Linked DNA regions of Caenorhabditis elegans. The protein of the gene in region 2 interacts with the protein of the main gene of each other region in a biochemical or structural test. Each region holds a gene or a part of one and is shown on either strand. Other genes may lie near its edges.

What was found.
Region 1: of the proteins of rgef-1 (region 2) and let-60, one has a biochemical effect on the other in vitro, tested with the Caenorhabditis elegans proteins (one study listed by BioGRID).

What each region holds. Positions count from the first base shown.
Region 1 is NC_003282.8:11,687,691-11,692,762, reverse strand, and holds let-60 (Ras protein let-60), read left to right. Parts: upstream 1-1,674; 5' UTR 1,675-1,685; coding exon 1,686-1,814; intron 1,815-2,509; coding exon 2,510-2,704; intron 2,705-2,761; coding exon 2,762-2,932; intron 2,933-3,657; coding exon 3,658-3,717; 3' UTR 3,718-4,536; downstream 4,537-5,072. Other genes in the region: ZK792.5 (Nucleolar protein 9), read left to right, coding at 4,646-4,936. UniProt on the Caenorhabditis elegans protein: GTP-binding protein with GTPase activity. The level of let-60 controls the switch between vulval and hypodermal cell fates during C.elegans vulval induction. May stimulate the guanine nucleotide exchange factor (GEF) activity of rap-1.
Region 2 is NC_003283.11:9,555,657-9,563,302, forward strand, and holds rgef-1 (Ras guanyl-releasing protein 3), read right to left. Parts: upstream 6,016-7,646; 5' UTR 5,953-6,015; coding exon 5,871-5,952; intron 5,820-5,870; coding exon 5,704-5,819; intron 5,514-5,703; coding exon 5,338-5,513; intron 5,289-5,337; coding exon 5,234-5,288; intron 4,352-5,233; coding exon 4,259-4,351; intron 4,201-4,258; coding exon 4,120-4,200; intron 3,866-4,119; coding exon 3,555-3,865; intron 3,488-3,554; coding exon 3,229-3,487; intron 2,882-3,228; coding exon 2,337-2,881; intron 2,066-2,336; coding exon 1,934-2,065; intron 1,175-1,933; coding exon 1,060-1,174; 3' UTR 371-1,059; downstream 1-370. Other genes in the region: ehbp-1 (EH domain-binding protein 1), read left to right, coding at 1-89.

The sequences.
Region 1 (5,072 bases), on a different chromosome or scaffold from region 2:
CATTAAATAATTCAATTCATCGTTATCACCATCCTTCGTCGTCGTCGTTATCGTCAGAAACAGATAGGGATGGGTCGATACAAAAAGAAAGTGGACAGTTCTTTTCTCTCACTCTTTTTCTCTTTTACAAATCACACTTGTTTCGTCTCACACACGCTCACTTCTTGTCTCTTCTCCCAACAGTCGTCGCAAAACCGTCAAAAGCGTAGCGGCTGTCGCGTCGCGGTCGTTCGTGTCTATGCATCACCGTTTCTAGTGCTCTCTAATTGTCCCGCCGTAGCAGTAGCAGCAGTAGCAGCGGCATGGTGGGGACCGCACTCCTTTATCTTTTACTCTTACTTTGTGTGTGTGTATGGGGGGTGCGAGAGAAAGAGATAAAAAAGAAAGAAAGAGAGAGTGTGTGGTTTCTGTGCTTCTGTGCACTCCAGAGCCTCGGATTTCTTTTCCTATGAACTTCATTTCTCGTCTCCATCATCAGAAGGAAGAAGAATTCTTCAGAATCTTGCACTTGAAGCGTTTTCTGCCTATTTATTTTCTCCTCCCGAGTTCATCTCTCTATTCGTCTTTAGCTTAATCCATTTTATTAGGCACGCACCCGCTCCTTGGTTCAACCAAATGAGAAGATAGAAAAGATGGAGCAACGCATCCCAAATTGTGTGATAGGATTAAAGTAGTGTGGAAGAAAAAAAAATGCAGAGTGAGAGAAGGGGCAGTCTTCTTTTCCGGTCTTACTAATCCTAACGTCTTCTTTTTCCTTCCTATCTCTCATCTCTCAACTTCTGAAATAGTTGAGATGAGTGATTTCGTAAGTTCATTATTCTTTTTTGTCAGTTTTTGCTTATAGTTCCTACGGGAATCATTGTTTCTTAAACATGCTACTTCTTTAAACAATTTATATTTAACAAAGTAAAATTGAACGTTTTTTTAAAAACTTTCTAACTGAATTTCGTAAATTTATTTGTTTCCTTGTGAAAAATGCTTGTCAGGAAAACTTTACTTCTCTACGTCTCAATCTCTGCAATCTTTTAACGAGAGATCGGAGAATTTTGTATTGGAAAAGTGAAAAAGAAAAATGAAAGAGACCCACTCGACACTGAGGGCGACCGAAAAGAAACCGACGAAAAAAAACGACGATTCGAGCCATTTGTCAGCGACAATAAGTGGTCGGGTCGCACCACTGTCCGCCGTCTCACCGATTTTAACATTATATTGTCCCCCTTTTTCTTCATCGCTTTGAAATCAATTTTTGATGAAGTGAAGACCTTTTTTCTCCTGGTTTTTTTTTTAATAATTGCATTACCCCATTTTTTAAAGTTCAAAATTACTCAAACTATTTGAATTCTTCTTTTTTTCAAATTGTAATGACTCATTCTCCGTCGTCTTCAAATAGTTACTCATTCCGACTCACCACCTAGTTTATTAACAGGAAAGTTCATTCTTTTTCTATCTTCTCAATTATTCTCAAGTAGTCATCATCGGTTTTTTATTTCTTTCCTGGTAGTTACTCTCCTTTATCGAAACTTTTTTTTGAAAAAAAAAAGAAACGGAATTCTGAGTATGCCGATAGGCAGAGCTGCTCTTTGGCAGTGCTCCCACAGAAATCCTTCTCCACTTCGTTTTCTCATTTCCATCTCTATTTTACATTTTTCCATATTCAACTATGCGTCTTTTTTCAGAAAAGGGTAATGACGGAGTACAAGCTTGTGGTAGTTGGAGATGGAGGAGTTGGTAAATCAGCACTCACCATTCAACTCATCCAGAATCACTTTGTCGAAGAATACGACCCGACCATAGAGGACAGCTACAGAAAGCAGGTGAGAAATCATTGGGAACATCCGCTACACACATGTGGTGGGAGCAAATTGAACGAAAATGATGGCATTTGAAATTGAACAAAAAAACGATGAGTCAGAAGTTTGGAAGTTTTTTGAAACACATCGAGCTGTTTAATTGATTCCAAAGACGAATAAATCGTGCTGAAACACGAAAAATTCCGAAATTTTCGAAAAAAAACCAATTTTTCGTGTTTTGGACACGACATTATAAAATGGCTGGAACTGAAAAAAATGGCTCGAATCATGATTTTTCATTGTCCCCCGAAAATTCTCACAAAAAAAAATTGGAAAACCGAAAATTTTAGTTTTTGCAAAAACCGGAAAAATTCTGAAAACACTCCAAAATCGATATTTCTCAGACGAATTTCAATAATTACATTCCGTTTTACGTTTTATACAAAAAACAGAAATTTCACTTTTTTTTTGAGAAAGGGCCCAAAACTTTTTTTTAGATTTTTTGTTTTTTTAAAGCAAATCGATAAACCAGCATGCCTGCTCGTGTCGTGTGAGGAGTATAAATTTTTTTAAACGTATATTCATCTTTAAACTCTGAAATTCAGAATATTATTGAGCCCTAATTTTCAGTGTTTTCATTTGAGTTTTTAACCAGTAAAAATAGTTTTTCAGTTTTAAAAATTGCTCCGAGAGCTAGTTTTTAAATATTCTAATTTCAGGTTGTGATAGACGGTGAGACATGCCTCCTCGACATATTGGATACCGCCGGACAAGAAGAATATTCGGCGATGCGTGATCAGTACATGAGGACAGGCGAAGGATTTCTGTTGGTTTTCGCCGTCAACGAGGCTAAATCTTTCGAGAATGTCGCTAACTACCGCGAGCAGATTCGGAGGGTAAAGGATTCAGATGATGTGAGTTTTTTTTGTTGAAATTATCAGTCAATGGTTGAATATTTGTATTTCTTCTAGGTTCCTATGGTCTTGGTAGGGAATAAATGTGATTTGTCATCTCGATCAGTCGACTTCCGAACAGTCAGTGAGACAGCAAAGGGTTACGGTATTCCGAATGTCGACACATCTGCCAAAACGCGTATGGGAGTTGATGAAGCATTTTACACACTTGTTAGAGAAATTCGCAAGGTAATTTTTTAGTTAAAAATTTAAATTAAAAATAATGTTTTTAATGTACAATTAAGGTACAAATTCAGTCATTATTATATGAAAATTGAAAGACGCGAGATTTTGATATTTTCGCGCCAAAAATACGACACCCGGTCTGTTCGATTTGCTCCTTCAAATATTATGGTAACTTTATACTGTCGTTACAGCGGAATTTTCATCAATTTTTTTAAGTTTTCGATATTATAAAAATATTTAAAAACACAGCAGTTTTAATAAATCGGTGAAAATTACCCCAGAAACGAAATATTAAAGTTACTGTATTCTTTAAAGGCGCACATACGTTTGCATTTAACACAAATTCATCGTGTCGAGACCGGGCACCGCATCTTTAATTTGAAAATCGCCAAATGTTGCATTTGAGTAATACAAAAACGTTGTTTTTAAAAATTTTCTGTTTTGTAAAGCTCTAAAATGTTATTATTGTTATCAACAGTTTCAAGTTTCCATTTTTCACTAAAAACGAAAAATGTAAGTTTTTCCGATATTTCGAAACAAAAGCTCAAAGTTTTGGTCATTTTCTTAATTTTTAAAGAAAATTATATGTTTTCTTTTGTTTTTTTTCTCACCAGCATGCACAAAATCTGATAAAAAATTGAGTTTTATTGTTAATTTTCTAAAAAAAATTTTGATGACACCCTAGATTGATATCCGAAAGATTTAATAATGTTTTCTTTTTATTTCAGCATCGTGAGCGTCACGACAATAATAAGCCACAAAAGAAGAAGAAGTGTCAAATAATGTGATTCAGCGTCGGGAATTGCCCAATTTCGCCAACTCATTTTCAGTCGTGTCAACTCCCACCCAATTATCCTTTCTCGTACTTTTTTGGTACATTTTCATTATTCATTTATCTGTTTTATCTGAAACTTGTGATCGATCCTCTTCCGCCTCTACATACTCTTCGAATTTCCACCTTTTTTTCTCTATGCATCGATTGAACTTGTTCTCTCGTCTGCTCGTCATTATTTTTTCTCCTTTTTTTTCTTCATCCTTCATTCTAATTCCTCATCTTTCGCTTAGCCCAAATCTCCATTCATTCATAGGTGTCAAAACTAGCTGTAGTGTGTGATCCATATCTAAAACATGCATCCGAACCCCCTCCTCGTTCCAAAATTGGCCAACTCTACCAAAAAAAACATCGCACCATTTTTTTTTCACTTTCTCTGCATATTTTCAGAATGTTTGTATTGCTTTTTTGATGCTTTATTCCCCTTCCTCGTTTTCATACAAATTATTGGCCTCATCTATTTTCAGAAGTTCTCTGAAAATTAAATTCTTTTGCATCTGCCGGTCGTTCCGTTTATTTTTTCTCTGTTTCCTCTCATTTTTGTCAAGTAATTATTTCTCTTTCATTAACTATAATATAGATACAATTAGACCCCATTTCTCATACATTTTCTGAACATCTGAAAGTTTTTGCTCCCTCGTATTGCATTCATTTTTCTCTATTCCTCTACATTTTATAGTCCTATCTGAATATAATATTCCTATTCTTTTGATCAAGTTTTTATTATTATTTTATTTTCAAGGAAGTATTGCAATGATATAAATTTTAAAAAGCTAATATTATTTTTTTAAATCTATTCAACTATATTTTGTTAATTTCAGTGTTATATTTTGACCTCGCCATCGGAGCATGATTTTAAAAAAAACTAAATTTAATTTATTAGAATGACGAGAAAAAGGAAAAATGTAGAGTCTGATGAGAATCCTCCAGCGAAAAACTCATTTGAAGGATACGGATATGCTGCTGCTGATGCTGAGAAGAAGCCACAGGAGGAGAGAAACAATTTCAGAACTTTTCTAGCCAAAAATGAACGATTTGGAAGTGGAAATCGAGGTGGAGGAGGTCGTGGAAGAGGAGGAGATGGTGGATTTAGAAGAAATGATAGAGGTGGACGTGGTGGTGGTGGAAGAGGATTCGGTGGTAACAGAGAATTCAGTGCCGGAGATTTTGAGAAGGTTTGTGTCAGATGGTGTCGTGAGTGATGTAGCGTCTCTGGCTTTTTAAACTCAAAATTACAGAAAAAGTTTCGATATGTCGAGTTAAAAACATTTCTAAAATTTGTATTATTTTGCAAAAAATAAAAAAAAGCCG
Region 2 (7,646 bases):
TTACTTTGGATAGGGCTACTCGCTTTGTTCGTGGAATAGATCAGCCTGTTTCAGCATCGAAGCGACTTATTCAATGGTGGCGCCGTTAATACGCTTCAACGTTATTTATTACTCAATTTAAAACTACGGGTCTTCTTCTCTTTCTGAAAACAAAGTTTCTCCCAGTGTCCCTTTGTTATCTTCTATCATTTTTTCTCCTTTCCATAATTCACTCTTTCCCGTTTTTTTGGCAAATTTTTAGGAGTTAATCAAAACATCAAATTTTTCTCTATCTTTTCATCTCTATGTGTATATTTTTGTATTCAGTTTTCTTTTCTCTCGGTGCACACAAATCCAAATGCTTTCAGCTTTCAATAAATCAATTCAGAGTTTTAAATGATGTTCAGCAAAAATTCATTCGAAAAAAGAGGAAAGTGTGTGGAAGACTGGTGAAAAATACTTTACACGTGGAAATATTTAGCGTAGAGATCAAACAAGTGGGATAGGAAAAAGCAAGCTCGAATTGTGAGGGAATGTACTGAAAGAAAAAACAAATAAATTTGAGAAATTGAGTGATATGGTTAAAAAATGAATCGCATTTTGCAGGAAAAAATACTCGTATGCATTAATTTGAAGAAAAATAGATGAGAAGAATAAACTTAATATTGTACTCTCATATTACGAGAACACTAAATCCTGAGAAGGCGTATTGCGCAACATATTTGACGCGCAAAATATCTGACCGAAAACTACAGTAACTTTTTAAATGACTACTGTAGTGCTGGTGTCGATTTACGGGATCGATTTTCACTTATGTTCGAATTGCGACAGTGATATTCAGTTTTTCGTATTGTTTTGTCATTTTTGTGTTTCTTTTAATATTTAATCGATTAATAAAATGTTTCCGTAAATCGACACTAGCGCTACGGTATTCATTTAAAGTGTTACTGTAGTTTTCGCTACGGGATATTTTGCGCGTCAAATATGTTGCGCAACACGCATTCCCAGAATTCAGTGTTTGTGTAATATATTCTTGCTAAAAATAAAGAGAGTGCAGAGAAAGAGATAGATGGAGACAAATCAGGCGGTACGGTATGACGCAGATGAAATATCTGCTAGATCATCATCTTCGAAGACTTCTTCACAAGCAAGGCTTACAAGACCAATTTCTTCATCTGGTGTACTTCCGGAATTACTGAAATTCTTATTGATGTTTAATGAACAACTGAAAATATTGATGGGGCACATGGTGTCAGAGTGTCCCATTTCGGCTTGATTTACGTAGATCTATGAGAATTACTAAATTCGTATGGTTAAGAACGTGCTGACGTTACATCTTTCTGGGTAGACAATTCCCGCATTTTCTGTAGATCAACTCCTAATGCGACAGCCTGACACCAATTGATGGGATCAGTATTGTATCGTAAAAGTGAATCCTGTGCTCCACAAAACTTCTAATCACATGTCGTATTTTCCTTATCAGACTAGTATCCGCTTGTTCTACTTTGACAGCCAGCTGACTTTGGTTTTAAAAAATTGTCAACTGACAAAATACGCCCAAAACATTTTTCTATAGTTCTAAACATAGATATTTGATTAAAATTGAGACATAAGAGATATAAGCTGTCAAAGTAGAGTGATGATGCAAGTTTATTAGGGGACATACGGTATGTGATCCTACCGTAGTCCACGTGAGAATTACGGTAGACTACAATATAATTACTGCAAGAAATACATTCAGGAAACCGTGAATATAGAGCTCTGTTCAAAATAAATATTAAAGCATGTCACAATTAAAGTGTTTGTTACATATGAATTATCGCATTATTGTGATACACTGTTGACTAGGTTTTTTTTAGTTTTGAAAAGATTAAGTTTTTGGTTGGAAAAGCATTTAACTTTTGATAAATTTAGGAAGATACTTAAAAACTAATTAGCCACTATAATAACTTACTAATATTCAGTACTTTCCGATTGTGGTCGAATATCTTTCAGTTTTGGAGGACTGAGTTTCGTAGAACATGTCGGCTTCTCTGTTGTTGGAGATGTGACAACTGCAGATACAGTACGAGGCCGAGACGATCTTCTAATGAATCTGATTAGAGGTTACATACTACGACCGATTATTTATAACTAGGAATTATATAGTCTACGGAAATTACCAAGAGTAGAAAAAATGAAACTTTAGACTTTTAGAAACATATAATTCTCAAATATTTCTTCCCGTTCAAACGTGCTACATGCTTCTGAAGAGTTCAAAAAACGTGCGAGATCAATCATATCAAAACTAATCTAGATCTATGTATTTCAGTGAAAACCGGTTTCTGAAGATTCTTCACAATTTGAGACCAACTCACTTGCATGTATTTATTATCCTACTTCTCATACTGCCACGTGGTGAAGCGAACCACTCGGCAGCCCTTGTTAAATTGCTGCTACTTTTTCTTCTGCATTCGGCTACAGCATTTGATTTACAGCAACTATGAACTGCTAATCCACAATCTTTGCACTTGAAGCCTTGTCTCAAAATCCCCCACAACAATTTGTTGCAATGATTGCAAGTCGTTGGAGTTAAGAATGTAGTTTCATGGAAATTGTGCTTGAATCCTCTTCGTAAATCTTTTGTATTCTTGTTTGCAGCCATAAAATAGGTCTTCAATTCATCTTTTGATATCTGTCCATCCATATCAACATCTATGTTCACAAATGCGTCAATAAAAGGGAAATTTCCAGCAATCAACTGAAATTCTTCTTGAGAAATGAATCCATCTCTATCATGATCATAGTGTTTGAATACTGCGTCCACCATTGCACTGATATGTTTTGAAACTGTTGCATTATCAGGTGCAACTGTAACTCCAGAGGCCCACTCAGCGAATACGAGTCCACGAGATGGTTCGAACTAAAAAAAAGAACAATTAAAAAAAGTTAGTTCGTTGACAAGTATTCTTTAAAGGGGTAGTCGCAATTATTTGACCAAATACATTTCAGGCTAGCCACATAAGACTGTATTTTATAATTTTGAGTATCATTTCGAAATCCGGTTTTCAGGGGTCTAATAAAGCAAAACCGAAAACCGTTACTTTTCCTGCAAACAGGAATCTTTGATTTTGTCAAAAATTTTCTGGAAAAAGTTCACATTTATCGAACGCCTCTATACAGGAAATTTTGCAAATTAAATTATAGAGTTTTTGAAAAGTTTCCAAGAAAGTTGCCATCAGATACCATGGTACTTTAAAATATACTTACATTCATAAAAGTTTTTGGTTCCCGTCTCAACGACAGCTCGTAAATATCATCATCGTTGTACCGAATGTCCAAAGACACTTTCAATGTGTTTATCAAATCCATATTCATTTCGGGAAGATTATGTCCTTTTTGATTGAAAACCAGAAAATTTGAAAGCAGTTTGGAAAGTTTCACCAATTTATCACTACTGATGCATTTTGTTTTCTCAAAATTTGCACCCGAACAATTGATTGCGACTAGGTCTTTGAGATGTACACCGCTGAAAAGTTGAAACATATAAATATTGAATTATTGAACTTTTAGAAAATTAAACACTTCAAACTCACATTATAGGTATCCGGAACTTTTTGTTACACGCTCCTAATGCTTTTCGATACTCGCAGAAATTGTGTTGAGCAGATAAAAGATTTGTCAACTGAGTCAGTTCTTTTTTGATATCGTTTGACAGAACTGCATATGTTTTGGCAAGTCGAGCCACTGATGAATGAGTTATTCCACCAACAACGGACATCAAAGTGTTAAAATTATTGATCTTTCGTAGATGCTTTGCTACATGAACAAACTTCACAAGGATCTCTGCTCGTTCTTTTGGTGTTGTCTTGTTAAGGATCATGCACTGTACCCAATTGGAAAGATTCTGAATTAATTATTGTTTTTTGTGTGATTTCGAGAAAAAAATCAAGAACCAAGAACCTACACCCAAAACGTGTTATTTAAGTGCTTGTTAAGCCACTGTTAGAATACAAAAAAGTGAAAATTACTAGTTTCTTAGAAGGCTCAAAGATCTGTCTATATTTGGTCCTGGCCGCTATTTGATCATAAACGAAGCAACCAATCCATTAAAGCTTCTAATTAAAAAATGCTCAATTTTCTTCAATAATATTTACTCACATTAAATACTGAAATACTTCTTTCCAACATTGGACATGATCTTAGATGTCCATCTTTCACATATTGCTTGAGCTCAGTTATCTGAAATAAAGGTAACCACAATTCATCATTTTGTTGTTCTAATTTATATTATTCTCACCGAAATTCTGGACAAAACGCGATAGTCGATATGAGAAAGTGACGTCGAAATATCGCTAGGGGATGCTTGGACAAATGAAAGAGAGAAGGCAGTCTGAAAATTAATTGATGTTAGAAAAAATTCATGAATATTCAAAGAAGTTGATAAATGTACTAGTGAGAATTTTTTCGAGGCAATGGGAAATGGTGGAGGGGTTCCCGGAGTGGGCAAAGTCTCGAAATCAACTCGAACTATTGTCTGAAACTCAAGGCTATTTTTCTCAAATCAGATACAGACAAAAAGCAAAACGAGGTATTCAGCGAGTGATATTTGATACAACTTTTTTTTGTTCAAAATTTAATGTTATCAAATGTTGTAAACGACAGAATGACCATCTTCGAAATTATCGACAATTCTGCAATTATATGTAATCATGTCGTGGAAATTCACACAGTGTATAAACTCTGCTGGATTTATGTGTTTTTTTTAAGTTGACTCTTTTTATGCAGGCTATGCACATTATAAATATAGGTCGACTAAAAAAGAGAAATTTAAACTCAATAAAATTGTGCATCTTGACAACATTGGAAACTTATCAAAAATCTCTCAAACTAATTTTTCTTCTAATGGCGAGTTCATCTCTTTTCAATGAAAACTTTTTGAGAAACTTTCCCAGTATACCACTTCCTGAGGAATTCTTAAATGCTTGCTTACTCATTGAATCGAGGAGCAAGTTGGGTGCGTACTTTTTATTTCAGGGTTTTGTATGATTCATTTATCTAATCTTTTTATCCGTTAATCAAAAAGATTACTTTGCTAATCCGCAATAGTATGAAATAGTTCAAAAAGTTCACATGATCTGATTCAGACAAAACAGCAATATGAACTTAAAAATATAATGCAAACTAATTGAAACCAAATTGAAATTTCTCTCCACACATCAACACCATAGCTCGCAATTCCTCGAAGCCTTCACTCTACAACAAAAAAACTTACCTGTTTAGCCAATGGATTTCTAACTGAAACTGCTCGAAGCCACGCAAATGACGGTCTGAGTTTGTTTCAACTTATTTATTTTTTTGTAAATTGAAAGTACTTACAATGCACTGACATCTAGACCATTTCGAATATTTTCATTTATATCTTCTGCTATCGTTTTCAATCGAACAACTTGTGCACAGACTTGAGGTTGCGCATCGAAATGCATTGGAAACTTTTCGATCCAAAATGATACCGCTCGACATACTGCTTCTCTTTGTTCGACGTTTCGAGTTTCCTTAAAATTTGATATTATTACTATTTGTTTTCTGTGACAGTCTTTAATTCAAAATAAAAATGTAAATAAATTTGCAAGCTTCACTCAGCCAGGTGTTTTAGGAACATCTGAACTGGGCGCGTGAAGCCGGAAATATAAAACTCAAGAGCAATAATTCAATTAATACTACAGATCACAACTTTTAAATTACCTGATAGAAGTTCACGAAATGTGTAATAAGTGATAAACTATCACTCAACCATTGATGACTTAAAAACAAGGCGTCAACAAATTCAATATCTTCAACCTCATCCTCCTCGTCGACATCTATAAAATTACCACCTGTGGTGTTAATAGGGTTTCACTTTTTATTCCTACCAAAGCATTCAACACATCTTGCCACAAGTTGATCTTCTGTGAGAAGTTCTTGATGTTGATCTTCTTCAACTTTACTGCTCATCGTCGTCGTCGTCGATGCCGTCTTCACGACGAACGATTGAGCAGAAGGAAGATTGTCTCAAGATCTAGAAAGAACGTTGGTAATGGTCTGAAAAATAACGGGAAGAATTGAAAATGGGCACACGCACACATGAATTGCAGGAATTGCAATTTGAAAATAAAATGCGATAGGTCTCTCTCTATCTTTTTCTCTTTTTACTGGCTATTTTTCTGAGGACGAACTGCTGCTGCGTCTCCGTTTTCTCGTTTCAATTCTCGGATGCGCGCTGCTTTTGCACCCCTCTCGCACGCGCATATAAGGGGAGGAGTGAGGGGGAACTGAAAAAAAAAGAAGAGGATGAAGAAGAAGACGAAAATGAAGAAAAGAAGAAGCCCGAAGTGGTGGTGGTGGAGTGAGGAAGAGAGAAGAGAAGCTGAGAAATCGATAGCCTACGGCGAGAAAAAATAGAATTGAGAGCTCTGCCAACGCCTTCTTTCTTCGGAAGCGGCAGAGCGCAAGCGGTAGCCATAAAGAAATTGATGGAGAGTGAGAGAGAGAAGTTCGAGACTTTTAAGAAGTATATGGACAAGAAGAAGAAGAGAAGCTGGTGAGTTCAAAATGAAAAGGATATAAATGAAATAGGATAGAAAAATATAGATAGAGCTTTTTTGTTCTCATTGAACATACTTAGACTATTTATTATTTAGTTAGTATAGAAATAGTGCAAAGAATATTAAATTTAAAATATATTCCTGGAACATCAGAATTCAATCAGAACTAAAAAACAATGTTGAGAACTTTCTTAGAATAGCAATTACTTAACTTTCTGGAACGGGCACCAAAAGTCTAGAGATGTGTGAAAAAATTGGCGGTTCAGAAATACGAGAAAAGTTTTCGAACTTAAAAAAGGTCAAATGATGAAGCCAAAATTTTAATTTTATTGTTTTTAGTGTTGAACAAAAGGCTCATTAATTTCCCTAAAACAATGCATCGGTTTTTAATATAGTTTTGCAAAGAAATAAAAACTATAATCTATGAAAAAAGATTAAAAATTCAAATTTCCAAACTTCACAGATTATTATGAAGATTTGCAAACAAAGAAGCCAATTTGAAAATTGTCTAGAATAATCTTGGTCTCGAGTGTATATGATCTTCAACAAATTTTTGATCCGAAATAATCGTTTTATTTTCCGTCGCTTATTCCTTATTTGTGATCTTTCACCAAAAATGTGCTGATCATTCATTTCAAACGATTCATTATATCCATTATTACTTCACGGTAAGGAGTACACAATTCAGACAGATTTTAGCAATGTCGTGGTTATTTATTTCTATATTTGGAATACTGAGAAAGTTTTAGATTCAAACACATTTTTGGTGAATGGTTAATCTGATAGTTTTATTCGCAAGTGTTCAGTTTTTTACTTGAAATAAAGATTTGGATCATTAAAAACCAGCAGAAATGACTCCTTCTGTGCCTATAAGCTTAACAGAATTCCTCTGGAACTGGACAGGTGATAAAGTTATTATAAAGATCAGTAATATAGGTACGTTACCCTTGGAGGATTTGTATTTGATAACTACGTGGAAAGCTCAGGGCGAGGTCAGATCACTTAAAGCAATACAAGTATTTCAAAAATTAACAAAAATAAATTAATTTTATAAGTTGCGCACTTATTGGTCGATGTGCAAAATAATTTTTAAAAAAAGCATAC